Linked DNA regions of Diceros bicornis minor. The protein of the gene in region 3 interacts with the protein of the main gene of each other region in a biochemical or structural test. Links are inferred from orthologs where the notes say so. Each region holds a gene or a part of one and is shown on either strand. Other genes may lie near its edges.

Region 1 (6,954 bases), on a different chromosome or scaffold from region 3:
CTACTTAATAACTGTGATATTGTCACACAATTGTATATTCAATTGTTTTGTGCCTCATTTCTCTCATCTTTTTAATGAAAATACTTTTAGGAAATTCATGTATTCACAAATGTTAATATAAATCCTACAAAATGTTAATGTGAAATCATTCAATATTCATTGTGTGTGAGCTTATTAACCCTACGAGGGTTATGAATGGTCTCAGTTTACAGATGAAGAAATTGAATTACAGAAAGAGTTGGGCCAATGTTATACAGCTGATAAATGATCAAAGTGGGATTTATGCCATATGCCTTTCTACCGTCTTTCATCAGCATATCCATCTTGAGAATAAGAGGAGCCTAGTTCACAACTTAGAATTGTCTCTATTAATATTTAATGAAAACAGGTATACCATTGGTAAAATGAGTAAATCAACAGCTATTGTTAGATGTTTATTCTGTATTCTGGAAGTTGATAATGAGTTTAAATAATGCATTTACATCTTAAAAATATATTGACTTTGTCAATGTTTCATTTCTTATATTGTCATTTATGTCTTTACCATTCTTCAGACTGAACATATACATAGTTTTATACGTGTTATATTTCGTAATAATTTTAGAAATGTACTCATCATGAACAAATTACCTCTCTTTGCTGTTGTTCTTCATGTTTAAACTTCTGAAGTTTCTGCTAAAGAACAAATCATATATAAAGAAATGTTACCATCTGTAAAAATTAAATATAGGAAACTTTGAAAATATGTACTTTTAATATGAGGGTTTTACCTTGTTGATGTGTTTAATTGATTCCTTCAGAAAAATAAAAATAAAATTAGGTTTAGTTTTAATGAACAATTCTTATTTGTCAATATAAATCAGAAAATGAAGGCATTTAATAGGTTAATGTGGACACCTTGTTTGATAATATTAAAAACTCAGGATAATTGCTGAAACATGTGTTCTGTATAAGCCCATTGTATAAAAAAAAAAAGACAGATGAATGCAGTCAAGAGAGAGAAGACAATTAGTAAATGTAATACAAAAAGAGGCATTTAATAGATGCTCTCTTCCTATGACAACAAATGGTCTCTAATATCTCATCAGATTCTAAAAGAACAGTATTCATTGATAATACATTGTAATAGCCATTGATCCATTCTGTTAATCATTCTTAATTTACTTGTTGTATTTAGGCTTCAAATGAATTATAAGAAACAAATACATCTCCTAAGAATCTGATTACCTTTGTGAAGAGACAAAGTATAATAATGTACCATTTAACTAACAGGTGATGACAGACCCAAAAAGAATGATGCAAGGGTAAATAACTACCTGACTCTCCCGGGCAGATTTAGGATGACACTAAGTTTCACTGCCTCTTATTTACCAAAGTAACTATTGTAATTACAAAACGTATCCATTTGCATGTCTGCCCTCCCACTACATTGCGAGCTCTATACTATGGGCATCTCTCTTTTCAGTTTGCACCACATCTCCTACTCAATGTCTGATGCACAAAGGACACTCAATAAATGTCAAAACAGTGAATGATGTCAGCGCAGAGAGAGCTGGAGACAGAAAACAGCACTGTACAGTTCATTTTAAAAAAAGAGGGCAGGGGCTGGCCCGATGGCTTAGTGGTTAAGTTCATGGGCTCCGTTTCGGCCACCCAGTGTTCTCAGGTTCGGATCCCGGATGCAGACCTACACACTGTTCATCAAGCCATGCTGTGATGGTGTCCCACATACAAAATAGAGGAAGATTGGGACGGATGTTGGCTCACACCTAATCTTCCCCATTAAAAAAAAGAGAGCACAGTGACACAATTTCAAGTAGCAAGCCAACTTAGAAAGTGCTAGAATACTGAATCTTCCAGACATTTATTCTGTCCTTAAATATATATCATGGAAGTTTACATCAGAATTTATATGTCAGAACATAGCTGCATTGGCTTAACTGCCCTAATGTAACACAATAGAAAGATAGCACAGCATTTACTCTTCCAAAATTGGGAGATTGCCTCTGAATAAATGTTGTCTTACCTCACGACTTGAATCTAGTTCATTGTTTGAAAGGCGTTCTACAGTCTGTAAAGGAAAAACAAAAACCAAAAAATCAACAACCACCTTCTCCTAGATCACCAAAGAATGTTACTATTTTATGGTTGGAAAATTTTCTCTGAATAAAAATATCTTACCTCATTGGATACATTAATTTCTTCCTTCTGTAAAGAAAAAAAACACCATTTTAGTTTCTATAGCTAACTCATTATTGAACATTTTTCCTACTTGATTTTTACTTTCTTTATGTGGAGCTATCTCTTTCACAAACTTGAGAAAAAATGTTATGTCTTTTGAGAGATTTGAAAGGTAATTGTTTTTATGGTTTTTATATTTAGTAAGTTTTGATTGGCATATTTTTATTTTACCTGAATGAAGAAAAGTTTTTGATAGGTAACAGAAAAGAAGTTATTTTAGTTTGTATTAAACACTTTTTATTATGATTATGAATACGTTTATCATTATGATTACTGCATGATACTCCACCTTCTGTATGTCTTTGGATAGACACAGGTAGGATTTGGCTCACTGCCCTAGGGTATGTATATTTCATCACTAGAATAAGATATATTTATCTAGCTTGCACATGCATGCAATTGTATTTGTGAAATATTACTCTTTTTTGTGGTTTTCATAATTGTTTCTTCTTGTTTTGTTTGTTGCTTATTGGTTTGTTTGCTTTTCCTTTAGGGACTCGTGGCACAGTGGCGTAGAGAGCATTTGACCCAAATTTGTAGCCCTACTATGCACTGTTGAAGTAGTGGGTAAATGTAAATTATTTTCTTAGAAATCAGAAAAAAATCTCTTGAAATTCTGCTTTATTTGTACATTTAAAATATTGGTGATGTTGTTCTCTACACGTAGGCAGATAGTTCACTATATCTTAATTATATAGAGATTTTCTTACCTCCCGTGCAAGAGCAAGAGCCACCAGGCAGGCAAGGATGAGGATCTTCATGGCTATCAAGTCCTGTGAATGAGGAAATGAGGGAATGGTAACATATTGGTCAATCTAATATATTTTTTTGGTTAGCTAGGGTCACTTCACTTTCCTTTTAAAGAAACCAAAAATAATGTATAGTAAAAATGTCTGTGTTTTAGAAAAAAAATACTAATAGGAGTTTTATCATGCAAACAAGTTCAGAATCTACTATGGCTCCTTGCCCTTACATATCAATTTCGTACTTTTTTGTCAACCATTCAGATTTTCTCAGGTATCGGCTCTATTCTACCCTCTTTTCATCTCATTCACACTTTGTGGGATTTTTTTTTTTGAAAGACAGTAAAGAGTTATAAATATTTACAGAAAGTTTATTAATTGATTCTTATCTCTAAAATATTTTTTACCATCTTTTATTGCCAGGCACTGTCTAAGTGGTAGGATTACAGCAATGGAACAATTAAGGTCTCAGCCCTGATAGAGCCTCAGTTCTTTTGGGAGGAAACTGACCAAATAAGGTTCACACAAAGAAGAAGATCATACTTTATTTTTATCTTTCCTCTACTAAACTAAACAGTTTCCATTAATATTTGGTTTAATCATATCTCCTTATTTCCAATAAGACTGAGATTTTCATTTGACCATTTCCCTTATTTACTCCACTTATCCAGATGCTTTCTTGGACCGATTGGTTTGCTTCTTCTCCATTTATACCCACTACTCAGTCTCATCCCCACACACATAGTGATGTCTCTTCTTTGTGCCACATAACTTTAGAGATCATAAACTATGCTTCTTTTTTTCTCTCTGATCTCTTGATGATTTACCAAAGGGTCAGATTCTCTTACCCAATCCCCACTCCAGGCTACTCCTTCTTGTAGCATAACATAAAATATATGTTAATACTTTTGACCAAAATGTATTAAATGTTTGGTTTTGTTGGATTTCTATAATTTCTTGTAAAAAATGATTTTTGTGCCACCAATATCCCTTGACATATAATCTTCAATCTCAATTTTTTAAACTAAATTTCTGAAATAAAAACATTTTATTAAAAAAGTCCCTAATTCATCAGCAAAATTTCCTTTCCAATATTAGAAGGCTCTTTATTAGAGAAAAATTTTTTTTCTGGATTTTTCTCATGGGCGCTATATAATTCTTTATTAATTTTACTTTGCATAAGACCTCCATAAGTTTCCAAATAATTTTTTATTGTCAGACTCAAAAAAAGAATATAGTAGTCTACTATAGATCATTACATGTAAGGAGGATCCCACTGCATTTTCTCTATTTTATAATTAGTATTTTATATACCAATTTTTAAACCAGAACTTCATTATTAACTATTATATTCTAAGCTACTCTTTCTTTCAAATCTTCTCCTTCCTTTCTTTTTTCCAAGTCATCTCCGTACCATCTAGAATTTTCTTACAGAGTAAAACACTTTGTTTCTTTTTAACTTAATTCTATATTTCATGTATCTATTTTAATATTATTTTGAAATATTATAAACTAAATGATAAAGTGGGAAGGTGGATGTTCTAATCTAGTTTGAGGAATACACTCTTCTTCTAAAAAAATCGTTTATAAACATTTCAAGTAGTGCATAGTCCCAAACAACTCCTTCAATTTCTTGATTCAATATGCTCCATCTATAGACTACCTGTTGGATAAAGTTTTCCCAGTAATTATTCATATCTCCAAACAATGATTTAAATATATTTGCTTTTATGGCCGTGGTAAGTTTAATCAAATTGGAAGAGATTTTCAGGGAAGAGATCTTTTAATATAGCCTGTTAACTAGTCCTGTACTATAAAAATAGTAATCACTGTTACTACATTTTCTTAGACTCATAAATCTTATACAGTCATTGCAATTTTTACCAATCTATAGGTACTTCTATTTTTTTTAACCTATGTGTTGAAAATAGTGCCAGCACTATTTTAAAAACCCTTATTTCAAAGACTATATTTTAAGCAATTATTTTCTTCATATATCTCAACTTAGTTGGAAATAAAAGTGAAGGGGGGACATATCAAATTTATATCTGAAATTCTTACCTTTTTCCAAGGTGGAGAACAAGAAGCAAAGGAGGAGATAAGTGGATGATGGTCTATCTGCTTTTGCTGCTGTTTATATACTACATTTAATGCATGCTAATTTTGTGGTTTGAAATAAAATCAATAGTGAGTTTGAATTCCAAGAAGTCCACCTAATTAGAAAATGATTTCTATCTATTATTTGTCACCAGAAGTTCTGGGGAACAATTTAACAAGGGAGCAATTCACAGCTAATAAAGGAAATTTGTCCAGGAAATGAAATTGTCTAATAACTAAAGACAATGACCAAAGGATAGCGAGACTCTAGCCCAGTCCCCAAGTTATTGTGGACACCATTAGGTCTCTTTGGCACTAGGTGGGTCTTCAGCACCTCAGTTGTGGGGGAATTCTATATGAGCACCAGAGATACATGGGGCCTTCACAAAGGACACAATTTCATACTAACCTGAGCAATTATTAGTGTTTCACGCCGCAGTAAAAAAGCTGACAAGATAACAAGACCATGATGATAGCTTAGTCATGTAAGGCAAACTGCTTAGCTCTCAGGGCCACTTGATTTGAGAAAAATAAATCATTCACTTCAAACCAATATTTTGTAAACAAGAATAATAAACCTTCCTGTAATGGAACGTCTCAGAAAAGTAATTTGGCAGGCTTTTAGAGGCAAAATCCTTAGTAAATATGTTATAAAAGTTTTGCAGAATGTCATGGAGTGTTATTTACCTGATAAATATTGATTAGCTTTTCTATTTAAGGCATAATAATTATAATAGCTTTTTAAAAAATTTAGTAACAACCCGACGCCAGGCACTGTGCACTTTACAGACATTGTCTTGTACAATCTTCACAAAAATGTCATGAGGTACCTCTTTTCTCCAGATTTCATTTGAATAAATTGAGACACCAAAAGGTTATGTAACTTACTCAAAATCATATTGTTTGTTAATGGAAAAATCCCATTGAAAACCAGATCTGTCTGACTACATATTTGATCTATTTGATTATATGCAGTGCTCATATTTTAACTCCTTCAGAGTTTGTTATAAAATTTAGCTATCAATGTAGCATTTGGGCTTACAAGTGCAGAATTTAATTATGCCTAGATTAGAGGAATGGAGCATTGGTGCTGAGTGTGGGCAGGATCAGCCAGTCATTAAGGAGCTAGTATTTTAATTGAATCTCAAAAGAATGAGTAGAATTTTGAAAGAAGATTAAATGGGAATAAAGCATTTTGGCTGAAAGAAATACAGGAGCTTGAAGAGCAAAATACCAAGCTTTATGGGTTCTGTATTTTAGGATACATAGAGGATATAGAGCCAGCCCTAGTGGTTTAGTGGTTAAGTTTCAACACTCTCACTGCCACAACCCATGTTTGTTTCCTGGTGAGGGAACCACACCACCCTTCTGTTGCTGGCCGTACTGTGGTGTCTGCATGTTGCTGTGATGCTGAAAGCTAGGCCACTGGTATCTCAAATACCAGGAGGGTCACTCATGGTAGAAAGATTTCAGCAGAGCTTCTAGAATAAGACAGACTAGGAAGAAGGATCTGGCCACCCACTTCCAAAAACTTGGCCGTGAAAACCCTATGAATAGCAGCAGCCTTGTCTGATATAGCACTGGGAGGTGAAAGGATGACCTAAAATGATTGGGCAGGTTCTCCTAGGATTGATAGGAGTTGGAATCCCCTTGAGGACACTAAAAAAAACAAAGAGGATTTAGAGTATAAGTTACTATTGCAGAGGTTTGATGGAGTCAGATCATAAATGTCTTTGATTTTCGATTATGTAGAGTGACATAATTCACTGGAATTAGGGGAAGATATTAGAGATTTAAAAGAAGGAACGATCATGAAATTCTTGGATTTTATGTCTTTATGGCAATATTTCAAGTAACCTAGTGAAGATGTTGT
Region 2 (7,025 bases), on a different chromosome or scaffold from region 3:
CTAGCATTAACAAATCTTAGTCACCCTTGCTAATATGAAAATTCAAATTAATAATGGATAATTTGTTAAAGAACTCTTCAAAGCAAAACAGTTTAACTCTTTAACCCATGCTACACTGGTGCCAGATTAGTCTTCTAGAAAACAGTTATCATGTCACTTCCCTACTCTAGAGCCCTCAATGACTCTAACTTAGCAGTTGAAGTCAGAGCTCTGGAGTCAAACTGGAGGGTATGAATCCCAGTTCTATCACTAGTCAGCTGTGTGATCTCGGCAAACTGTGCCTCAGCTCCTTCATTTTCAAATATGGGCAGTAATGGTCCTATTTAATAGGGTTATTTTGAGCATTAAAATTAAGTAAGTTTAATACACATCAAATGTTTAGAATAAGTGCCCGACTCAATAACGGCTAGTTATTACCTTACCTCTTTCCATTATCCTCCCAGATTCTCCCCTCTGTACCTTATACTCTAACCAAGCCAAATGACTTGCTTTCAGCTAACATACCTTGTGCTTTTCGACTTTCATGTCCTTAATCATCCTGTTTATTCTTCTTGAGAGAGCCCCTGCCAAATTTCTTCTCATAGAAATTATACCCAACCTTTAAGGTACCATTCAAATACCTCCTTCACCGAGCTTTCACTGAACTGTCAGTTGTTATTCTTCTCTTCTGAACTCCAAATGTACTTTGCATGATCAAATAAAACTTACGTTTTTGCCCTATTCTTGTACTTGTCTTATTTTTCCTACTAGATCACAGATTCATAGAGCATAAGGTGTCTTACAGATATATATATGTGTGTGTGTGTATATATATATTTTTTTCCCCCCAGATGAAGTAATGGATTCAGAGAGGTAAAGTGGCCTATCTAAGGTCATGGAGCCAGCTGGAGGTCATGCTAGGAATGGACTTCACACATCCTGAACCACCCAGGGTTCTTCTCATCATACCTCCAACCTGACTCTCCTAAGGGCAGGGATCACGACTCACTCATTCTTTGAAGGGACACTTATATTGATTAGACTGAACAGATAAAACCTCCATCTCTTTGAAAGTTCAGACCTTCATCAAATATGCAAACGTCAGTAAATCCAAACAAATATTACTGATAACTTGTCCAACGTAGGGAAAAAACAGATACCATTACATAATAAAACTTCAGAGTATTACCCTGGGTTGAATCAGGTTTATAAAAAAGATGGCCTGTCTCAACGCTTTGACTCAATCAGTTATGGGAACAGCAACAGCAATATGTCTGGCTTTTTTCTTAGCAGCATAATCTTAGTTGTTCAGACAGCAATATTCAAGAGTCTTTGCCAAGTGAGGGCATTTTCTTCAATTCACTAAGAATCAATTGATCAAAACTGAAAACAATCACTATATTCTCTCTTCATGCTGAAAAATGACTGCCATTTCTACTTGATAAAAATGTTGTTCAAATGACGAAATAACTTTTTCGGTCTACAACCCCCCCCCCCCCACTAATCTAAACAACATCTAGAATGAAAACTGAAAAACCAGAGCTGGAACTGTTCTAAGGCTATATTTATATAGAATAACAAGGACTAGCATTAAAAACAAAAATAAAAACTCAACCTATAGAAGGAATTCCAGATATCATACCAAAAAAATGTAGCAGACGTATTTTTTATTTGCTTTTGGAGAGTGGCAAGGCATATTCAATAAACATTCAGAACAGAAAGAATGCACCTTTCCCAGCATGTGCCATGATCCAGTTTCTTGCAGTAGCAGCCGATTAGAGGAACACAATGCTGCTACTTTTACTGTTAAATCAGTCAAATTCCTCCACTGCCTTAGGGAATCAACTGGCCCATTTTACACCGTCTGTCAACTTATTAAAGGACAGAAATGACCTCAAATGTAGGTATTTTAGCAGAGAACAATTATTCCAATTATAATGTCCTATCTTTTCTTCCTCATGGAGAATTTTGATAAAAATTTTTAATCTTCAATAAATAATCCATACAGCCCCGACAAGTTTCACGATCCCGGGCATTCAACACCATTTCCAAAACTGAAGTGATACAATACTATTTGTGCGTAAGGCCACACGTATTTTTCACTAAATTTATGAACAACTTCCAGACGATGATATATATTTTAAGTCATATTAACATATGGGCCAAGAAACGTTAAACTTTGTTCCCTTAGAAAATAACTTTCAATTGGAGAAGTCAGAGAATGGGGTTAAATCAAGTCACCTGGGAGTCATTCTTTGCGACACAAGTTCTTCTTGAGATTATAATCAACAACGTTCCCCTAATTTTCTTTCCTTCATCTTCTGTATTTATATACACTCCTACTCCATAGAGACCCCTCCATCTCTCCCACCCCTTCCAACCAGGAGCAGTAACCAAGCACTCCAGTGGCCTAGACACAGAAGTTCCCAGGGTTTCTTCCAGGTCTGTCCAGGATCGGGTCCCCCCGGGACGCGAACAACTGTGGCTCTTCTGCTGCAGTTGTCCTGCAGAACCCCCGTTCGCTCCCTTCCTTCCAAATCACCGCTGTCCGGCGCGAGCAGGGGGTCGGGTGGAGGTGGGAGGGAGCAGTCCGCGCCGGGCCTGCGGACGGGCCGGCTCCTCCCAGCCGAACCCGCACCTCCCAGGCCGCGAAGCCCGGGGCTCTCCCTCCAGCCCGGGCGCGGCCAACCCCCGCTTCCCGGGGCCGGGCTCCGCTCAGGTCCGGCCGCCGGCCCGCCCGCCGCGGCAGCCCTGGACCCCGCCAGGGGCATGGGCGTGGGCCGGGCGGCCGCGGCCCCGCCAGCTCGGCTCGGGCGGAGAGCGCGCCCCACCCGCTGCGCCCGCCGACCTACCTGAGGGGCGAGCGGGGCTCCCGGACAGCGGGCACGGCCCGAGGCGGGCGCCGAGGCGGCGGGGGCGCGGCCCGGGAGGGACCCCGAGTGTCCCGGTGGGGCAGGGCGGGGACAGGCGCCGGGGTGCCGCGGGCCAGCGCGGCCCGTCGCGGGGTCGCGAGACCTGGCTCTCCCCCTAGCAGCAGGCCGCCGCCGCCGCCGCCGCCGCCATCTTGCCTTCCACTCGCAGCCGCCACCGCGCTCCGCCGCGGGGTTCCCGGATGTGGGCATTTCCCGGCGTCGCTTGCGCGGGGGCCGCGGCCCGGGAGCTCCCGCCCGCCCCCGCTCTCCGGCGGCCGCGCGCCCCTCTGCGGGCGGCGAGTGTCGCCCGTGCCCGCCGTGGCTGCCCGGGGCCTCGTCCCGGGCGGCGGGGTGGGCTCTCCCCTCCCGGCCCTCACGTTTCAGTCTCCCTCTCTCTTCACTTGAGCCCTTTCTGTGGACGGAGGTAAAGATGCGCGTCTCGAGGAGCTTGACTCCCCGAAGGAAACGGGAATGAGGCGCCCTCTGAGAGCTCGCTGAGGACTCAGGGGTCGCGGTTTCCAGAGGCTTTGACTTAAGTTGATTTTGTTGAGCACTCTTCCCCCGAGTAAATCCGTGAGCGTGAGTGTTTTCTGAATCAGCCAGATTAATATATTCTTGAACCCGGACAGATGAACAGAGTCTAGAGATTTTTAATGTCAGCCGAATCGGTGGAAGAGGAAGGCATTATTGTCATAACCGGAATAACGGTGACTGCGAGAAGAGGTTTTATTTCTTGTTAAGTTGAGTTGGAAGTTTGCGAAGGGATCTTTGGGTTTATGATGTTTGAAGGTACCGGCCACCCTTTGTAAAAGCGCCTCTGCCAGTTCTGCCTCTGGAAAGTATTTCCAGTTAGTATTTTCAAACATCTCCTTTCATCATTTTTCTACTAGAGACTGTCTATAAAATTTTTAAAGACTTCTTTTTTTTGATATTAAACTAGTTACTGACTACTGTATCCAGAAGTTCAAATTCCCTCTTAAAACCCCTGTTACGAAAACCTCTGTTAAAAGAAAAGGTTACATTCCAAGAGCACTTGGTTGAACATCTGTGTTCCACCAGCAGAGTTTGTAGAAGGTAGAGGATACGACCCAAGGTGCGCCGCTTAATAGCACTAGGTCTTACTTTCTGCCACTGAAAGACCTTGTTTTTCGGGTCTTTCTGACCCGAAAGAAAGACCTTTGAATCTAATATATAATCATATGAATCTAATATGTTCACAGGCCTGCTTGCCCTTTCCAGAAGCAATATGTATCTGGAAGAGCATACTGCCCTCAGAATCTTGTCACCTCTGTCACCAACCCATGGAACTTCTTCATTTCAGCTCTTCAATTCTTTTTTTTTTTTTTTTTTTGGTGAGGAGGACTAGCCCTGAGCTAACATCCGATGCCAATCCTCCCCTTTTTTCTTGAGGAACATTGGCCCTGGGCTAACATCCGTGCCCATCTTCCTCTACTTTATATGGGACGCTGCCACAGCATGGCTTAACAAGTGGTGTGTCCCTGCGCGCCCGGGATCCAAACCTGCCACCCCCAGGCTGCTGCAGCGGAGCGCACGCTCTTAACAGCTGTGCCACCGGGCGGCCCCGCTTCAATTCTTTTTAAGCCTAAAGGTGAGTATCTCCATAAACTACTATGTTGAGGGAAATTCCTAGATAATTCAAGGAGCTCAGTGAATTGCTCTTTCTAGGACTAGGAGGCTTACTCCTGTGAAGTAGGGGGAGAGAAGGGCAGAGAAAAGAGAGAAGAATTGACAAGATGGAAAGCAGCTGAGACTGCGGGTGGGCATGGAAGGGAAAGACCAGGGGAATAGTTTCTGGGGTGCTGGATGTCTAAGAATGGCAGTGCCTGCCATTGCACTTGAAGGTCTTTGTACTGCTGTGATGGAAAACCCTTGGTTTAGCCTCAGCATACTCAACTCCTCAATGCCTCACTGAAGTGGGGTTTTTTGGTTTCATTTTGTTTTTATTAACAAATGTAGGGGCCAGATTTCATGGTTGAGTGACTGTAGGGAGAGGGACAGTACACATGGAAGAAGTCTGGAGACAGTGTGGCCCTGAACACATAAGCCCTCCTGGGAATTCATGCTGCCTTAGGGGAAGGCTCTAGACCATGACCAGCCCACAGTTAAGGAGTGAAGAGTTGGGGCTGGCCTGGTGGTGCAGCAGTTAAGTGCACGTGCTCTGCTTCAGAGTACCAGGGTTCGCAGATTCGGATCCTGGGTGCGCACTGATGCACCGCTTGGCAAGCCATGCTGTGGCAGCGTCCCATATAAAGCAGAGGAAGATGGGCATGGGTGTTAGCCCAGGGCCAATCGCCCTCACCAAAAAAAAAAAAAAATTTTTTTTAACATGATCAGCAAATTCTAGTCATTCCACTTCTCCCTTCTCAACCCTCCCTCCCGTGGTTTTCTCCCTCTTTGTACAACTCTAATGTAGTGAAATGTTGGAATTGTTTTGATGCTAAGATGACCGTAGTCTAGGATGTAGCTGTTAGTTTTTCTGCATTGCCACTTAACGTTAATCATGGTTCAGAATGATACCAATGAAATAAGTTTCAATAGTTTCATATCGTTGTTTGGGTCTCCCCAGGTTTTATGTCTGTAGAACAAGAGCATCACTACTGCTTCATAATTAGTCTGAGCTAGATACCACATCCATACCATAAGCTTAAATGAAGGTTTGATATTAACTATACACTAGTGAACTTAGTATGCTTCTTGTGGTAGCTTTGTCAGCAAGATAAATGGGGTAGAATGTCAATAAATCGGTTTGGTTTACAAATATTTCTGTAACTGTAGCCAAATACCAATAACTTGTGTCACTGGTAATTTAGAGGACTCTAGGAGTGGGCCTAAGCCCTTCAGTCCCTTTAACTATCTCCTAACCAGTGGGATGAGAGTGTAGAAAGCATGCTGGGAAATTCTGAAAATAATCAGCTTCTACAGACAAGATTCAAAGGAGGTTGTTCCTTCTTTCCTATACTGAAATAAAATTTATCTTCTCGGAACGAGAAGGATGGACCTATAGCAAGGATCAAAACCATCTGCATTAACTCAAGAATATGGGAAGTATGGCTTAGGAGTATCATGTTTGAAAATTGAAGAGTTTCAGTTCAACTAGCAGCAGTCTAAGTGAACAAATGTCAGACTAGTTACAATAAGCTGAGACAGCAGTACAAAGGAATATCATACCCCAAATCAGGAGAGTAGGATTTTGTCATATTCTCAGCAAGGCTGACACCACCCAGAACAGTGTTCATTTTGGGAGTCACACTTTAAAGATGACCTTTGGCAAATGGGAGTATTTTTTGAAGAGAAAACAAGATTGTGAGTTTAGTTCAGTTCAATTTACACTGATTCAGTGCTTACTATGGATCAGGTATTTTGTTAAACATTGTTAATACAAAACTGAGACATGGGCTCTGTACTTGAGCTTGTGGTCCAGTAGAGGGAGCCAGGCTGCTTAACACAGCTGTAAGCGTATATACGCTCTGCACAATGGGCTTCTGAAGCAGAGTACAATTTAACTCAGATTGTCAGAGGCCAGGGAACGCTTTCTTGAGAACATGACACCTAAAAGGAGACTGGAAGCGTAAGCAGGATTTAGCCAAGAAAGGCAAGAAAGGCTGGGAAGGAACCTTGCCCACAAGAAACAAAAAGGTTTACTGCAAGGAAGCTACAATACGTAGTTTTGAATATTTGAATGTGTGATGAGAGGAATTAAATGTTTTTTGTGGCTCCTGAGGAAAGAAGACAAATGGAAGCAAATTTCAGTTCAGTATATGAAAATTCATTTATTTACTGAAACCTTATGGTAAAGTACCCCAACATAATGCAGATTTGATGAACTGACTTGGTTGTCTCGTAGTAGGTTCACGTGGTCACTTCGTTAACCCACAATGACATGATTCTACCTTTTTTACAGGATTGTTTTGGATCCCACTGACACACTAAAACACTGCTATAATGCTGTAACAATTAGAGTGGTCCAAAGGAGAGGCTGCACTGGGGAATGGGAAACTTGATCACAGTGTATTTCCAAGTAGACGCTGGATGATAATTTGTTAGGAATGCTATGGAAAGGATTATTAAATTTAGGTTGGAGATGCCCTCCAAGGTACCTTCCACCTCTGAGAT
Region 3 (7,614 bases):
GTTTCCGGTCCCCGCCGGATCCGCACTGCCAGCTGGGATTGGGTTCGAACAGCTTCATAAATATCTTCAGCATTTTGTACCAGCTGCTCCCCAATAGCCAAGATCACATCACCTGGCCGTAGACCAGCCCTATGGTGAAAGACAGACAAAGAGAGAAAGGAGGGAGTAGCCAGCCCAGTTCAAAGGCACATGCACACCTCACCCATCCGCACCTCCCACTGCAGTCTCTCCCTCACCGGTGTGCAGGGGAGTCCAGGATGACTTTATGGATGAGCACACCATGCTGAACATCAGGAAAGCTTGGTTCTCGAAGCTGTAGCTCAGCAAGGATGCTGAAGGGACATAGATCACCTGGTTAACCACACCAAGGCACTCTCCCCATCTTGGATTCACCTCAAATCTCTCATCAACACACTGACAGCTGTATGGACAGGGCATGCACTGGGTACTCCAGATACAAAGGCAATTCACTTTCTGCTTCTGGCAGTTAGGAAACAGGACATGTATATAAAACATAATTAATTCCAAATGACACAGTGTTAAATCAATAGCACTAAGGTCAGTCTAGAATCCTAAGAGAAGCTTTAAGGAGGGAGTAGAACTTAAGCTGAGCCTAGAAAGATGGGTCTGACATTTAACTATAAAAACAAGAACAACATAAATAAAAACATGGGAGTAGGAAATCAGGTTGGCTGGAACAGAGTATATTCACGTAGGAAGGTTGAATTAGAGACAAATGGAAAATGGCCCCTAAACACCAGGTTAATGGATTGAAGGTCAAAGCAGTAATGAGATAAAATAAATCTGGTGGCAAGTGTGCAAAATGGAGTGGGATGAGAAAGTCAAGATGATGAGAGAGGACAGCTCTTCTGATAGCTCCACATGTGAGGCAACTCATCTTAGATAAAGATAAAATTGATAGAATAAAACAAAGCTCAACAGAAATGCCAGCTGCCCACCACCGAGTATACTGGTGGTCCTACATGTCACTACCCCTAAAGCTCATACCTGGGAGTCAGGGTCAGCATCATCACCCCAATGTAGCGGCGCTGGGACCCACTGATTCCAAGATGAGAATCTGTGATAGAGGGACAAATGAGCCCCACCCAGCTATATCCTTCCTTCCCTTCCCCATCCTCCCAATAAACCCTTCTCCAGTAAGGTCCAATGAATGCCCCTTCCCCCCTAAGCCAGACTCACTCTTCTTTTCTCCACGATGCAGAAACTCTCGCAGGCGATCAGAAGGGATGGCAAAGGAGATCCCAGCTGTGACCTTCATGGTATTCACCCCAATCACTTCCCCATCCTGCAGGGACAGAGCCCACTATTCCCTAACCCCAACAAACAGTAGGAGATGGGGGTACCTTAACAAGCGTAGCTGGGAGTGTTGGGGAATTGGGGAGATCAGGTTGGATTCTGGGAGAAAGCCTATAAGAGACTGCTCAGAAACTTGACCAAACATTATTGAATTAGGGAAAACCTACCATTCCACACTGACCTGGGGCAGGGATTCTTGGAAAGAAGGATATCCCACTCACCAGGTTAACCAGGGGACCTCCAGAGTTTCCAAACTGCAGGACAAGAAGAAAATATGGAAGAGATCCAGGGACTCTATGCCTGGGGGCATAATCAGGATGTCCGCACTTTCTCCAAATTCTCTCCTTTCCCAGCCCATAAATGAGTGGCCACGTTTTTTGCAGCCCAACCTCTGTGTATAGCCTTATCCACCATCAAACACAGTTGGTGCCTACACCACACAGTATCTCTCCTCTCCCCCAACCTAGTTTGTCATTTCTGTCACATCAGGACGCACATCAATGGCAGCATCAGTCTGGATGTATTCCACATTGGTTTGGGGGAGGCCCAGGTCTCTGGCTGGACGCTGAGCAGAGCTGACGATGCCAGATGTGATTGTGTTCTGCAGTGCAAAGGGACTTCCCATGGCAACAACAAACTCCCCTTGCCGGACATCAGCTGAGCGTCCCAGGGGCAGTGTGGGGAGAGGCTCCTAAGGGAGAATGGGTACAAGAGAGCTGTCATCTGGAGATACGAGCAAATTCACAGCCCCAAACAGACCCGGCCTGGCCGGACGCCCACCTTAGTCTGAATCCTCAGCGTGGCAATGTCTGCGACGGGATCCACAGCTGTGACCACTGCCTCATACGTGTCGCCGCTAGGCAGCCTCACACGGACTCGGCGCCGATCAGCCACCACATGGGCGTTGGTAACGATGAGCCCGTCGGCAGCCACCACGAATCCGGAGCCATTCGAGATAGGGACTTCGCGGCCAGAGAAAGGGTGCCTGGGATGCGGGGAAAGCACGGATGTGAGGGGGCTCGGACCTCTCCTGCTCCCCCCGCCCTCTAGCCCGCGGCTTCCATGCCTCCTGGTCTACCCCACCATTACCGGCCCAAGATCTCGATATAAACCACGGCAGGTGCCGTCTTCTCCACCACGTCTGCGATGAAGTTGTACTGGCTCCGGGGAGAGGTGGGCGGCGAGCCGAGGACCGAGGCGAGGACGGCCGGAGGACCCCGACCCCCGCGCCACAACAACAAGAGCACTGCCCCCCCGGCGCCCAGCGCCACCGCCAGCCACACGCGCAGACGGGTTCCAGGGGTCCCTGAGTCCTCCCGCGTCCGGGGGTCTGGGGTTCCCGCAGTCAGCTGTGCTCGGGAATCTGAAGTCCCCGATGTCAGACATGTCCGTTGTTCAGGGACCCCCACAGACAACCGGGCCCGGAGACTGGGGGTCCCATAAGTCACTCGGGCCCGAGGGTCAGGAGTACCTGACGTCAGCAGGGCCCGGAGGTCAGGGGTCAACGGGGGTCCCTTCCCCCAGCGAACCCCCCCCAAAGCCCGCCATCCCCGTAGGCTCCAGCCTGCACCCTGCCCCGCCCTCAGTGCAGCCATCAGCTCCGCCTCAGCTGCCTCCTCGCCCGCCCTACACGGAGGCGGCGCCCTGGACCCGAGCGGGCGGACAGCGGGACGCGGGGCACGCCGGTACCTGAAGTCCTCCAGAAGTGCACGCCGGGACCCAGGATTCCAGGAGGCCGGCTCCGCCCCCGCCCCGCGACTGTCGGGAATTGTGGTCCCCGCAGGACTCAAGTTCTGAGGTGGCCCGAGGGCCCGCGAGGCATGCTGGGACCGCTAGCCCTTCCGGGGCGCCTCAGGATTTCGGGTCCGGGCACCCTGGGACGATGCCCTAAGACTCCGCCTTCCCAGGAGCCCCTGCGGCGGGGCGTGAAGATGGCGGCGGCGGTGGAAGGGGCCCGACACCCCTAAAGTATTAGCGATGGAACCTCCCCCGGCGCCGGGGCCGGAGCGGCTCTTCGACTCGCACCGGTAAGAGTCCCGGCGGGAAGTGGCCGGCTCCCGTGTCCACTCGGCCTTCGGCGGCCAGTCACCCCGCTTCTCGCCCCTAGGCTCCCGGGTGACGGCTTCCTGCTCCTCGCGCTGCTGCTCTACGCTCCTGTCGGGTTCTGCCTCCTCGTCCTGCGCCTCTTTCTTGGGATCCACGTCTTCCTGGTCAGCTGCGCACTACCAGAGAGCGTCCTTCGCAGGTGCTGACCCAGGCGCTCGGGGAGGGTCAGGGCTGGGTCCGGCCCGAGGCTGTGCAGTCACCACTGCCTGTGTCCCTAGGTTCGTGGTGCGGACCATGTGTGCGGTGCTGGGGCTTGTGGCCCGGCAGGAGGACTCTGGACTCCGGGATCACCGCGTCAGGGTCCTCATTTCCAACCACGTGACACCTTTCGATCACAATGTAGTCAATCTGCTCACCAGCTGTAGCACCGTGAGTGGGGGGCGAAGCCGAGAGCGCCACGGGGCGGTTCTCTGGGGCCCAGCTCTTGGCTCCCCTTTGCCCCTCTGCCCGCCCGGGTTTTCCTTGGGGACCACAAGCTACTGAGCCTTACTCCTAATCCCGCTTCTCTACTTCATATGTCAGTTTTTCTCACTTCCCAACATTCTTTTCTCTTTGCTTTCTTTTCTCCCGTTCCCAGCCTCTACTCAATAGTCCCCCCAGCTTTGTGTGCTGGTCTCGGGGGTTCATGGAGGTGGATGGGCAGGGGGAGTTGGTGGAGTCACTCAAGAGATTCTGTGCTTCCACGAGGCTTCCCCCCACCCCTCTGCTGCTGTTTCCCGAGGAAGAGGCTACCAATGGCCGGGAGGGGCTTCTGCGCTTCAGGTGGGTGAGCATAGGTAGCAGTGTCCAGCTGGGTGGTGGGTGGTCAGGCTTGGGGGCCCTTGGGTTTTAACAACCTTCTTCAGCCCTACCCACTCCATTCCTAGTTCATTTCCTTCCTGTCCTGTTTTAGTTCTTTACCCGGAAATTCTTTATTCTCCATTTATCTACTTGTACAGTTTGACAGTTCCTGTTTTAAGTCAGGTATGAACTGCTGCCTGGAGTGGCTGGAATGCCATCTTACCCTCTCTTCTCTCTTCTAGTTCCTGGCCATTTTCTATCCAGGATGTGGTACAACCTCTTACCCTGCGAGTCCAGAGACCCCTAGTCTCTGTGGTGAGTGCGTGTTGGACAGGGAATCTCTGGGTCTTGGAGCAGAAGTTTCCCACTCCTGGCCCTGGCTTCATGAAGACCTCACTTCATGCCCTCCCCTCAGACGGTGTCAGATGCCTCCTGGGTCTCAGAATTGCTGTGGTCGCTTTTCGTCCCTTTCACGGTGTATCAAGTAAGGTATTAACTGTCCTCACTTTATGGTGGCTGGGAGACACTCACCTCAAGGTCAAGGAAGTAGTTGCCTCTGCCCCATCCATTTGCAGATCTTTTAATATCAAGTTGCACCATAGAAGCAATACAAAGTATTGACTATCTCCCCACTCGCACCACCACTTTTCCATGAAAAGTATCAAAGTGAGGAGAAGGTGACAGCCTCTACCCCGGGTGTCCCCAAGATGTTCCTGGATTGTTTTTTGCAGGTGGCTCCGTCCTGTTCATCGCCAGCTGGGGGAGGGGAATGAGGAGTTTGCCCTCCGTGTACAACAGGTGGTAGGATACACAGGCGGGGTGGAGGTGGGGTCTTTCCTTAGGTGGTGAGGGAGGAAGGCTTGAAACCTTGACACTTCCAACCTTCCAATTCTCCCTAGCTGGTGGCCAAAGAATTGGGCCAGACAGGGACACGACTCACTCCAGCAGACAAAGCAGAGCACATGAAGCGACAAAGACACCCCAGATTGCGCCCCCAGTCAGGTGGGTGGTCTCTGTACACAAAGCTTTTTGGGTTTTTTTAGCTTACTGTGATTTCCCCCTATTCCTGTGCTAGTCAGCCTCTCCTTCCTCCTAGTTCTCCACTCACCATATTTCGGATTTCTTTTTTGCAGCCCAGCCTTCTTTCCCTCCCTCCCCTGGCCCTTCTCCTGATGTGCAGCTGGCAGCTCTGGCTCAGAGAGTCAAGGAGGTTTTACCCCATGTACCACTGGGTGTCATCCAGAGAGACCTGGGTATGGGAAAGGGTAGCCTCACACAAGAAGACAGGCACAGAAAGGAACAGTGGGTGGTGAGGGGAGAAGGTGAGCAGAGAAACAGACTCCCCTCTCCTCTCTTCCCTTCTCCCCAGCCAGGACTGGCTGTGTAGACTTGACTATCACTAATTTGCTTGAGGGAGCTGTAGCTTTCATGCCTGAAGACATTGCTGAAGAGACCCAGTCGCTTCCCACAGCCTCAGCCCCCAAGGTGAGACCCAGAAAATGGTCAGGTCCAAGACTTGGGGTGGGATGGAACAGTCTAAATACTCCCTAGCCCTGATGTCTCTTTTTCGATCCTGAGACCCTAGCACAGTGCCTCTCTTGTAAAGTAGGCATTCGATGCGTGTTTAATGATGATGACTTCGCAAGCCCTCTGACATTGTGATCACCTCAGTTCCCCAGCTCTGGCCTGGTGACCCCTCAGCCCACAGCCCTAACATTTGCCAAGTCCTCCTGGGCCCGGCAGGAGAGCCTACAGGAGCGCAAGCAGGCACTATATGAATACGCAAGAAGGTGAGGGGCTTAGAGGACAATGGGTAGTAAGGGGCAGGTTGGAGAAGGGAGCTAATTATGGGGCCAATATGGCAAAGTCCACACAATGTCTTCTTATGTCCTGTAGGCGATTCACAGAGAGACAGGCCCAGGAGGCTGACTGAGCACAAGATGGCACCCAGAGCCGCAGGACGGAGACTGGGGGCAGCCCTTACCCAACTCACGACAGGCCGGATGAGTGGGTGGTAAAAAGGGAGGGATGGGGCTCCCCCCAGTATCACATTAAATTCAGGGTTTTCACTCAAGGTCTCTGTTGCCTCTCTGGGTGTCAAAATCCCCCTGAGCAAGTTCCTTTTCCATTGGTTGGGGGGGATGAGTTTGTCGGGGAGTGGTCTGAATGGAACTGTCTGAAATCACCTCCTCGTGTCAAGAGATGAGTGATATTAAGGAACTGTAACTGAACTGAAGACTCAGGAACAACTGGACCCTAGCTTGGGTGTTGAGCCCTAATTTGTGAAGAAACAGCTGCAAAACTGCAAATCCCAGGATGCTTTTCACTAACGAGCACAGTACACAGGTGTCTGTAAAGTTCACACATGCTCAGTGTGGTGGTTGGAGCCTTTTTCCATAGGCTCCTGACTAGGTTAAATAAGGTGGAGCAAATGGCCCCACCCCAAAACCAGTCTTTAGGGTTCAGGGTTTGAGCCAAGCCCCAGGGTGGAGCCAGAATTTACCTTTGTACTTCATGCGGGTCAGGGTTGGTGGTAACTGCCTGGGTGGGTCTAGAACTGGCTGCCATCCTGACACGTCTCAGAGCTGCAAGCAGGTTTGAATCCAGGGTCCTTGTGGCCCTGTTCCTTGGTTCCTGCCCCCCTCCTCCTCTTATTCTTTAGCCTTTTCCCCTGGGGACCTCCCCACAGGGTACCAGGTCTCATATAATTCCTGCTGCCCCTGAGGACCCCTGTGGTAGTCACAGGATTTTTACTATCTGACTACAGGGTAATAGTTCACTTTTGATACTCCCTTACTTGGAGACTCAAATCTCCACTATTTCCTGGCAGGCAAGAAATGTTGGGAAAGATGGACTCCAGTACATTATCACGTGAGGGTACAGGTTAGGGATCAGGGCTGAGGTGGGAGGATGGTGTTAGCCACCAAATATGAGGCCTTAATGACTGCCCTGCCTTCTGTAGGTCCTGCCAGTCAGCCACCATGGCCTCTCAGCTTCTCGGGCTGGCAGAAGAGTCTGGCCCAAGCCCTGGGGAGTCTGAACTGGCTGTGAACCCCTTTGATGGGCTCCCCTTCTCTTCCCGCTACTACGAGCTGCTTGAGCAGCGCCGAGCCTTGCCCATCTGGGCTGCTCGCTTTATCTTCTTGGAGCAATTGGAGAGTAGCCCCAGTGGAGTGGTGCTGGTGTCTGGAGAGCCTGGCTCTGGCAAGAGCACCCAGGTCAGGGGAGATTCTGGGAGTGGACAAAGGGAGGGGCTAGGGAACTGGCCCTTCCCTGGACAAGGAGGGATTGGGCTACAAGGGATCATAGAGGAGGTGGGCAAAGGGAGACTGCTTAGGCTGGCCCAGGGTGGCTGGTAGAGGACCAGGGGACTCCCTAAATAAAGAGAGAGTAAACTGGCCATAGCTCCCC
Region 4 (7,773 bases), on a different chromosome or scaffold from region 3:
AGGGTCTCGTCAGGAGTGAACACGTCCAGCAGCCCGATCACCTGGGGAGGGGCCGGAGCACCAAGTGGGATAGGGACACAGCGGAGGGCGCGGGAGCTCGAATACACCTCTGAGGCTGATACGGTGCTCAGGCAGGAAAGCCCCCTGCAGCTGTACCCGTCTCCCCCTACTGCCTGGCTCTGCCCACTGGCAGCACGACCCGGCCTGGCACACATGCCCACAGACACAGGCTATTTTTGGATGGTGACAGCTGGGATCCTCTGGGGGAGGGGCAGCCCCAAGTCTGGGTCAGCTTCCAGCCGTCCAAGGAGCTCCAGCCCCTTGACCCTTCCTCCCCCTTTTCCTGTCCTCCTTGAAGACCCAGGATCAGGGTGGGGACAGCCCCTTGGGGGAGAGCTAGAATCTGGCAGGTTCTTCCTTTGCTGGAGAGGCCCAGGCGGGCAGCACTATGACCAAACCCCTGACCCCAGAGACCCCTGGTCAAAGGTGATGGACAGCAGACAGGTAATGTGACAACTGGCCCCAGGGCTCAGAGTGACAGGGCCTCCAGGAACCCAGGGAGGCCTTCACATCCGAGCGGTTGGCAGGGGGGACACCTGGCAGAGGTCATGTGGATGGTGGCCGAGGCAGGAGGGAGAACACTTCGAGCGTTTGAGGAACATGGGGAGGGAGGCCAGGTGGCCGAGGCCCAGGCCAGGGAGTAGCCAAGGAGAGGCCAGAGGGAGCCGGAGGAGGCCCTCACAGCCAGGTGAGGCTTGGCTTCCATCCTAAGAGCCACCGAGGAAGGGTTTAAACAGGCATGATACTGAATGTGTCTCCCTGGCTGCTGTGTGGGGGCAGACCGGAGTGAGGTAAGAGTGAACGTGAGGTGGAGGAACAGCTAGATGACCATTGCAGCCACTGGGGCCAGAGCCATGGGCAGCAGGGGAGGAGAGAACAGAGCAGGACATCCAGAGAGGGGCCTGGGGCACTGGGAGGGTATTGTAGCAAGAGGGAGGAGAACAGAGGACCGGATCCCCGAGATTAAGGGGATTGTCAGGTTGACGGAGACTTCTGTGCCTCTGCGGTGCAGATCGCAGCAGAAGTAGGGGAGAAGGAGAGGGAGAGGCTTGAAGTGGAGGGCGGAAGGGGCAGGACTAGAGCACGTGGCAGCCGCTCCACAGCCTCTCAGAGCCTGTTTCCTCCCAAGGAAATGGGTTCACAATAGGCCAGCCTCCCAGCTTGTGTGTGGGGTGCCTGGAGGCAGTGCTGGGTGCTGGCGGGTGAGGAGCTGGATGGGGATGGTAGGACCCACCGCACAGTGGGGTGGCCCCAGCACAGGCTGGGGGGCAGGCCCCAGGAGGGGGCTGGGCCAGATCAGGGGTGGGAAGCAACTGAACAGAAGGCCCAAAGACCCTGCTGGATGAGAAGGGTGGGTGGGTGGGAGTGAGGGGCAGTAAGGGAGAAACCGGATGAAGCCTGTCTGCCCTCACGGGGACAGGCCTGGGTGTGACCAGGAGGTAGTGAGGCCAAGGCTGGGCTGGGGTCCACCATGAATGGATTTCACCTGGGAAGAGATAAGGGCGGAGACGGGCAGGCTGAGAGAATGAAGAGCCAGCCAGGGGCTAATAGGGTGGGCATGGGCATCAGCCAGGAACCAAGGGGACAAGTTTCCGGCTGGACACAAGGACTCATTCCCTCCAGGGAGTGCTGGCGGCTCTGATGACCCGGGAGGAGTCAGACCACCTGTGGGTGCCCAAACCACCATGCCTCAGACTGGGCCCAGAAGTGGGGTGAGACAGGAGTGGCTTCTGTGGGAGGGGGCAGAGGTCATGGCCGCAGGAGGATTGCATCAAGAAACAACAGGAGCTCCCCTGGCGGAGAGAAGGGCTCTTAGCAGCCAGCAACAGCCACGAAAGAGGCCCATGGCAGCTGTGTCCCACGGGCAGATGTGGAAACAACTGGTAAGCGCCCAGATCTGTCCCTTCCCCACTGTCCGTGAAGCCCCCATGGACATGAAGCCAGCGTCTCTGCGCCCAGTGCCCTCCACACATCAACTCTCTAAACCCTTTCACCACCCCAGACCCCAAGGCTCCGAGGTGACAGCCAGGATGCTGACTCCAACACTATGCCTGCTCTGTGTTCCCAGGGCCCCAACTCCTAGGGCTGAGGCTCAGGAGGTAGACTGGAGCAGAGTGGGTTCAGGAGGGGCTGGACCGGCTGGAGAAGGGGGCCTGCGGTCGGGCAGCGGGGAAGAGGATAAGTGCCCCTTCCAGGAAAATCGCTCCTCTCCCTGGAGCGTCCTCTAACTTCAGGCTCCTGGCTGGAGGCAGCGTTTGGGTGAGACATGGATGATCCGCCTGGGCAAGTGGCCGGCCCCTGACCAGAGCCTGGGCTTAGGAGCCAGATGCGGCCCCAGGAGGAAGCCAAGGAGCTAAGTCCTGCCCAGGGACTGGCCTAGGAGGAGAGGACCAAGCCCTGGGGCAGCAGTCTCCCTCAGAGAGAGGAGGGGCTCTGCCCTCACCAACTGGAGCCGCCCACCCTTCTCGGGGACAGTGCCCTGACACCCGCCCCACGGCACAGGGGGACGCCTAGGAGCCGGGGAGGAGGGCGACGAGCGGCGCCGACGGACGCGGCGTCCTGAGCCCAGGACCCCGCGCGACTCACGTTCTCGTGGCGCATGTGCTTGAGGAGGCGCAGCTCGCGGTAGGCGCGCTTGGCGAACAGCACGGACTGGAAGGGCCGGTACAACTTCTTGATGGCCACCTTGGCGCCCGTGCGGCTGTCCACGGCCGAGCTGCGGGACGCACCGCTTAGCGGTGGGAGGGAGGGAGGGCCGGGTCACCCCGCCCAGCCACCCGCGCGGCCTGCGCTCACCACACGGCGCCGTAGGCACCCGAGCCCACGGGCTGCAGGTCCTGGTACACCGCGCGCACCTCCCAGGCCGTCTTAGTCACCTCTTGGCGGTAAAAGCCCCTGCGGGCGGGTGGCGGAGAGCTCATGGCGGCCCGGGCACCGCCCCCGCCGCAGACCCCACGGGCGCCGCGCCCCGGGACCAGGAACCGGGATCGGCGGGCTCCCTGGGCGCGCGCCGCGGGCCACCGCGCGGGAGAGCCGGTTCCACGCCGCCCGCCCGCCGCCGCCGCCGCCGCCGCCGCCGGGCACTGCCGCTCCCGGCTCTTCCCTCCGGGTCGCCGTCCTCCAGGCTCTCCCGTCCCGCCGACCCCGGCCCGACCCAGCCCCAGACCGCGTAGCGCGCGGCCCCTCCCCTGCCTGCGGACCAACCGGCCCCCGGGCCGCGCGCACGTGACGCCCCCGCCCGCCCTCGGCCCCTCCGGAAACCCGAGGCGGCTGTGGCCCGGGAGCACCCGAGACTGGGGGGAGGGGACGGAGGGGGAGGGAGCGCCGCCCCGAAGCTCAGTCCCAGCCTGGAACCGGACCGGAAGGGGTGTCGGAGACCCCCGGCTCGCCCCCGCACTCAGGCTGAACCCCCGGGCCCGCGTCGGGGGTGTCTTAGCTTGGGGCTCCTGTCTCCTCCTCACTAACCATGCCCCCAGGGCGCTGGGCCCGTCTTGGGCAGCCTGAGGCCGTCGGACTTCTATCCCCAGCCCTACGCCACTGTCCAGCAGCCCGCCAACTTCCACCCCCCCACACCTGAGCGCCCCCCACCCCCGCCTGATCCATCCATTCCCCAGTGTGAGGTCCCCAGCACCTGTGGGGTCCGTATGGGAGAGCTCGTTCTGTCTCCCAAACTTAGGCTGCATCCCCAACACCCCTCCCTGTGACCACAGACCCCAGGCCTCCCAACCCCAGGGAGCCAGAGAAGGTGGTCCTGTAGGTTCCCCTTGGGCCCTGTGCACCCCAGCTCCCTTCTCTCCCCCTACTTGGCATGTGGGGAGCCTGCTGCGAGCATTCGCAAGTCCCTCTGCGCGTCCCAGCCCCTGCCCAGCTTATTCCCTCCTGTTTGTCCTTCAAAGCCCAGCCTGAGCCTCTCCGCTCTCTCCAGGAAGGTGTGCCTGACCCTGCGGGTGAAGGAGGGCCCTACTGGGCCTCTCAGCGCCCCCTTACCCCTCAGTGGGACCCATCCTGGACCAGATGCTCCTGGAGATCAGAGCTCCCAGCCCCCTGCCACATCCTCCCCTAGCCCAGCGATGGGGGTCTGAGAAGGAGTAGGGTAACAGGATTCCCAGGGCCCCCTGTCCCGCCCTCTGTGCCCTGCCCAGCTGGCTGCCATGAATCAGCAGCTCAAGCCTGGCCAGAGCAGCTTTACACCTGGGCTGCTGGTTGGTGAGGCTGGTGATCCAGAGCCCTCAGGAGTTGGAGGTCAGTGGAGGCAGCCTGGGGTCATGGGAGCCACAACCGCCTGTACCCGTGCCCTTCATGCCCTGGACTGCCTGTGGCACTCTACCTGCCTCCTCCAGGAAGTCCCCCAGCTGGACCCCTTATTCCCTGTGCTGGGGCCCAGGGTCCAGCAGGGTTGCCTATCAGGACACACCGCCAGATGGGGCTTGTTCCCGGGGTTCTGCTCCCATCCCCCACCCCACCCCCAGGACTTGGCCCAGCCCAGTCTCCGGAGGTTCCCCAAGACTTGAGGCCCACTAGCCACACTGACCAGGCCCCTGGAGGCCCACTTCCCAGATAGTCTCCACCACCCAAGACCCAGGGCAGGGGCACAGAACGTCCCTTTCCTGGGGACACCCTGCCTGATCTCTGTCAGGACTGGGTCGTTGTCCCCCCCGCCCCCCAAGCTGCAGTGAGCAGGAGGTCGAAGGCTGAAGTGGCCCTCTTTCCCCTTAACCAGGAAAAAGAGGAAAGGTATTTCCCCCACCCAGCCCAGCCCAGCCCAGCCCTGGGAAAGGCCTTTGCTTCCAGAGACCCCCAACTGTCACCCAGTGGCCACCCTGACCACTGAGTCGAGGGGCAGTTCTGCATCTGGACCAGACGCCAAGCCTGCCCAGTGAATCCCCAGCTACCCTGCTGGGGTCAAGTTGAGGGTGGCCATCATACCCTGTCCCCCTCAGAGCCCACTGGCCTGGGTGGAGGACTCACCCCCACCCCCCACCCCCAGGTCTGCCTGGGTTCTCAGGGAGCAGGGAGCGTGCCGAAGATGGCTGCTTGTCTCACTGGGGGCCCAAGGGATCTGGCTAGTGCAGGAGTCTGGTGGGGCCAGGCCAGCTGGAGGTGTGATGCTCGGAGAGCCAGCCACCCACTCCAGGCAGTGGGGAAAGAGGGGCAGCAGGGCTTGGAGCCTGGGACACAAGCTGAGCCAGAGGGAACCCCCTTTATTGCGAAACCCTGGTGCAGGCACTTGACATTCAGACCTCCCTGGTCTTGCCAGGTGATAGGTCACCACCTGACAGAGACTCACACCCACAACACGTGTGGAGCAGGGTCCTGGCCCAGAGGTTAGTAGGTCAGCTCCATTCTGGAAGGAGGGAAGATGAGGGCAGACCCTCAGACCAGAGCACCCCAGCTCTCAGCTGCAGGGCCAGAGGGCGGGCAGAGGTAGAGCAGGCAGAGGCATCTTCATCAGTCAGGGCCACAGTCCAGGGTCAAGTCCAAGTCCACATCGGTGTGTGCCCTCCTTCTTAGCATCCTCAAGGTGGGAAGCCCCGTGCCCGTCAGCTCCCCAACTCGCACTGTGCCCCATGCCTTGGAAACCTGGTGCAGCTCCCACACCCAAGGAGAGAGCCCCGGCTCTTGCTCCCGTGGTTGCCCCTTCTCCACCGGAGCCCCTCTCATGATGCACAGTGGGATCTCAGCCCCACCCCCACCCCCCAGGCATCAGGAACAGTGGGGAGGGGAGGCAATAGTACAGCCACCCCAATTCAGGCCTCCTGCCAGTCAGGCCGCTGGGCCTTGGGCACCCACAGGTGCACATACGCCTGCATGTGCCTTGAAGTGCGTCTGTGCCACACACAGCGCAGGTGAACATGCAGCTCAGGTGGATTTTCTGATTTGACACCTGGCAGCTGTCCCCGCCCTGCCACCCCCCAGGAAAGACCCTGCTCAGCTCTCAGACCATCAGGTCTCAGCACTTCCCAGGGTAGTGCCCGCTTCCAGGCTGAGCAGCTCTGACCGCTGCGACCCCTCCCTTTGAGTCTCCAGGGGGCCCTGACGCCAACGCACCACCCCCAGAGACAGCCCTCCAGGACTAAGGAGATCTGGAGACAGACACACTCCCCAGGAGAAACCCATACGGCATCCAGTCCCCCAGTGAGGTCCCAAAGGAGACCCAGGGTGCTGGGAGGGGGTAGAAGGACGGTGGAAGTCCAGGACACTCTGCCCAGACTCCTACACCCGTGGCTCGCACGCATGCACACTTGCATGCATTCACATGTGTGTGCAGACTCCCCACAAGGAGCAGTGTGCAGACGGGGCGTCCCTGGCCAGGGATCAGGGTTGCCGGGCCATCAAGGTGGCGCCCCTTGTGGGACCCCAAATGCTGAGGAAGGGGGGCAGGCAGGCTCAGGCCCCTCGTTGAGTTTGAGTGTGGTGATGGGCAGCATTCCCCTCACTGCCCAGTCTCCTGGCTGCCCAGCGGCTGCGGTGGCTCTGGGGGCTCGAAGCTCAGGACTTCCTGGTAGGTGAGCTCTGAGGGGTGAGGGGAAGGAGGGGAAAGGGTGAGCTCATGCTGCCACCAGCCCAGCACCCCTGCCCAGCTTATCTGGTGCCAGCTACCCAGCCCAGGACCACCGTCCTCCGAGAGAAGCCTCAGCTCCTGGGCCTCCTTCCAGAGCCTGCCCTGTGCTGCCCCCAAGCCTCCGCTGGACACACCCAACCTCATCTCTAGCTGTCCCACCAGGGCATCGGGCGGGGGTGGGGGGGGTGCGGAATGTTGTCCCTGCTCCCAGACCCCCTGGGGAGGAATGCAACCCTGGGATCCTGGGCTCCACCTCCCTCCTCAGCCCTCCTCAGGCCCACCCTTCCACTCCTCCACCGTGCGCTCCTTGGCCTCAACACTTTCGTCATAGGGCTCGGCCTCGGGCTCATCATCCGGGTCGTGGTACTGGCTGAAGTAGGCATGGGCCAGGGCCTCAGCTGCACTGATCCTCTGGTCACTGTCCAGCACCAGCATCCTTCCCAGGAGGTCCACGGCTGCAGAGGAGCCAGTGTGGGGGGGTCAACTCTGCATCCAGGGCCAGACATGGAGCCCAGCCCAGACCCCAAGCCCATCCTCACCCAGGGGGTTGGCTCCACGGAAGATGCTCCTGAGGTCCTTCTGGGGCATGGGGGGCAGGGACTGGATGTACATCCGGGCCTGGGAGCACATGGGAAGGGCCTGAGGGGGCTGCTCACCCCCACACCTCCCCTAGCCCTAAGCCAGAAGGGGGCTTGCCAAAAGAAGCCCCAGACTCATTCACTCCCACAGGCCTGGGCAGGGGCATGCACAGACCAGAGACCTCCCCTGCTTTGGACCTGGGGGCTCCAGCTCCTCGCCTGGGCCTCAATGCCTGCAGGACCTGGCACGGTGCCGCCCACCGTCCTTGGCCAGGGCGCTGTTTGTCGGTGCTGCAATTCTGCCCTCGCCGTCCCTCGTGCCAGGAATGTCTTCCCTGTTCACCTGTGTCCCCCTGAAGGGGTCGGGCATCTTCCTTGGGCTCTGTTCCACTGTGACCTCTGCCCCCACATGGTGCTCAGTCTATCCCCACACTGCCCCTTCCTCCAGAGTGCCAGGGGCTTGGTCAGCAGAGGGAGCTGGTGTCCGGTGACTCACATGTTCCGAGGATATCTTCGCCAGAACCTCGGGGCTTGGTGTGCCCACCACCTCCATGATGCGCTTCAGCTGGTCAA

Evidence for each region.
Region 1: of the proteins of HTRA2 (region 3) and CSN2, one has a biochemical effect on the other in vitro, tested with the Homo sapiens proteins (2 studies listed by BioGRID). The link is inferred for Diceros bicornis minor from reciprocal best matches to the Homo sapiens genes HTRA2 and CSN2.
Region 2: the proteins of HTRA2 (region 3) and LATS1 form a complex in vitro, tested with the Homo sapiens proteins (2 studies listed by BioGRID, with this or other methods). The link is inferred for Diceros bicornis minor from reciprocal best matches to the Homo sapiens genes HTRA2 and LATS1.
Region 4: of the proteins of HTRA2 (region 3) and MAPK12, one has a biochemical effect on the other in vitro, tested with the Homo sapiens proteins (2 studies listed by BioGRID and IntAct, with this or other methods). The link is inferred for Diceros bicornis minor from reciprocal best matches to the Homo sapiens genes HTRA2 and MAPK12.

Annotation. Positions count from the first base shown.
Region 1 is NC_080747.1:56,461,070-56,468,023, forward strand, and holds the start of CSN2 (beta-casein), read right to left. Parts: upstream 3,003-6,954; coding exon 2,952-3,002; intron 2,209-2,951; coding exon 2,182-2,208; intron 2,072-2,181; coding exon 2,027-2,071; intron 676-2,026; coding exon 631-675; intron 1-630. UniProt on the Homo sapiens protein: Important role in determination of the surface properties of the casein micelles.
Region 2 is NC_080778.1:28,144,488-28,151,512, forward strand, and holds the start of LATS1 (serine/threonine-protein kinase LATS1), read right to left. Parts: upstream 3,006-7,025; 5' UTR 2,832-3,005; intron 1-2,831. UniProt on the Homo sapiens protein: Negative regulator of YAP1 in the Hippo signaling pathway that plays a pivotal role in organ size control and tumor suppression by restricting proliferation and promoting apoptosis.
Region 3 is NC_080751.1:14,486,809-14,494,422, forward strand, and holds the start of HTRA2 (serine protease HTRA2, mitochondrial), read right to left. Parts: upstream 3,001-7,614; 5' UTR 2,913-3,000; coding exon 2,407-2,912; intron 2,303-2,406; coding exon 2,098-2,302; intron 2,009-2,097; coding exon 1,814-2,008; intron 1,572-1,813; coding exon 1,485-1,571; intron 1,307-1,484; coding exon 1,201-1,306; intron 1,079-1,200; coding exon 1,009-1,078; intron 333-1,008; coding exon 237-332; intron 130-236; coding exon 1-129. Other genes in the region: lipid droplet-regulating VLDL assembly factor AUP1, read left to right, coding at 3,295-3,344, 3,425-3,562, 3,642-3,792, 4,001-4,185, 4,446-4,518, 4,619-4,692, 4,935-5,004, 5,103-5,205 and 4 more; ATP-dependent RNA helicase DQX1, read left to right, coding at 7,185-7,421.
Region 4 is NC_080764.1:545,538-553,310, reverse strand, and holds the start of MAPK12 (mitogen-activated protein kinase 12), read right to left. Parts: upstream 3,002-7,773; 5' UTR 2,982-3,001; coding exon 2,857-2,981; intron 2,777-2,856; coding exon 2,647-2,776; intron 42-2,646; coding exon 1-41. Other genes in the region: MAPK11 (mitogen-activated protein kinase 11), read right to left, coding at 6,494-6,573, 6,904-7,077, 7,162-7,240, 7,697-7,773. UniProt on the Homo sapiens protein: Serine/threonine kinase which acts as an essential component of the MAP kinase signal transduction pathway.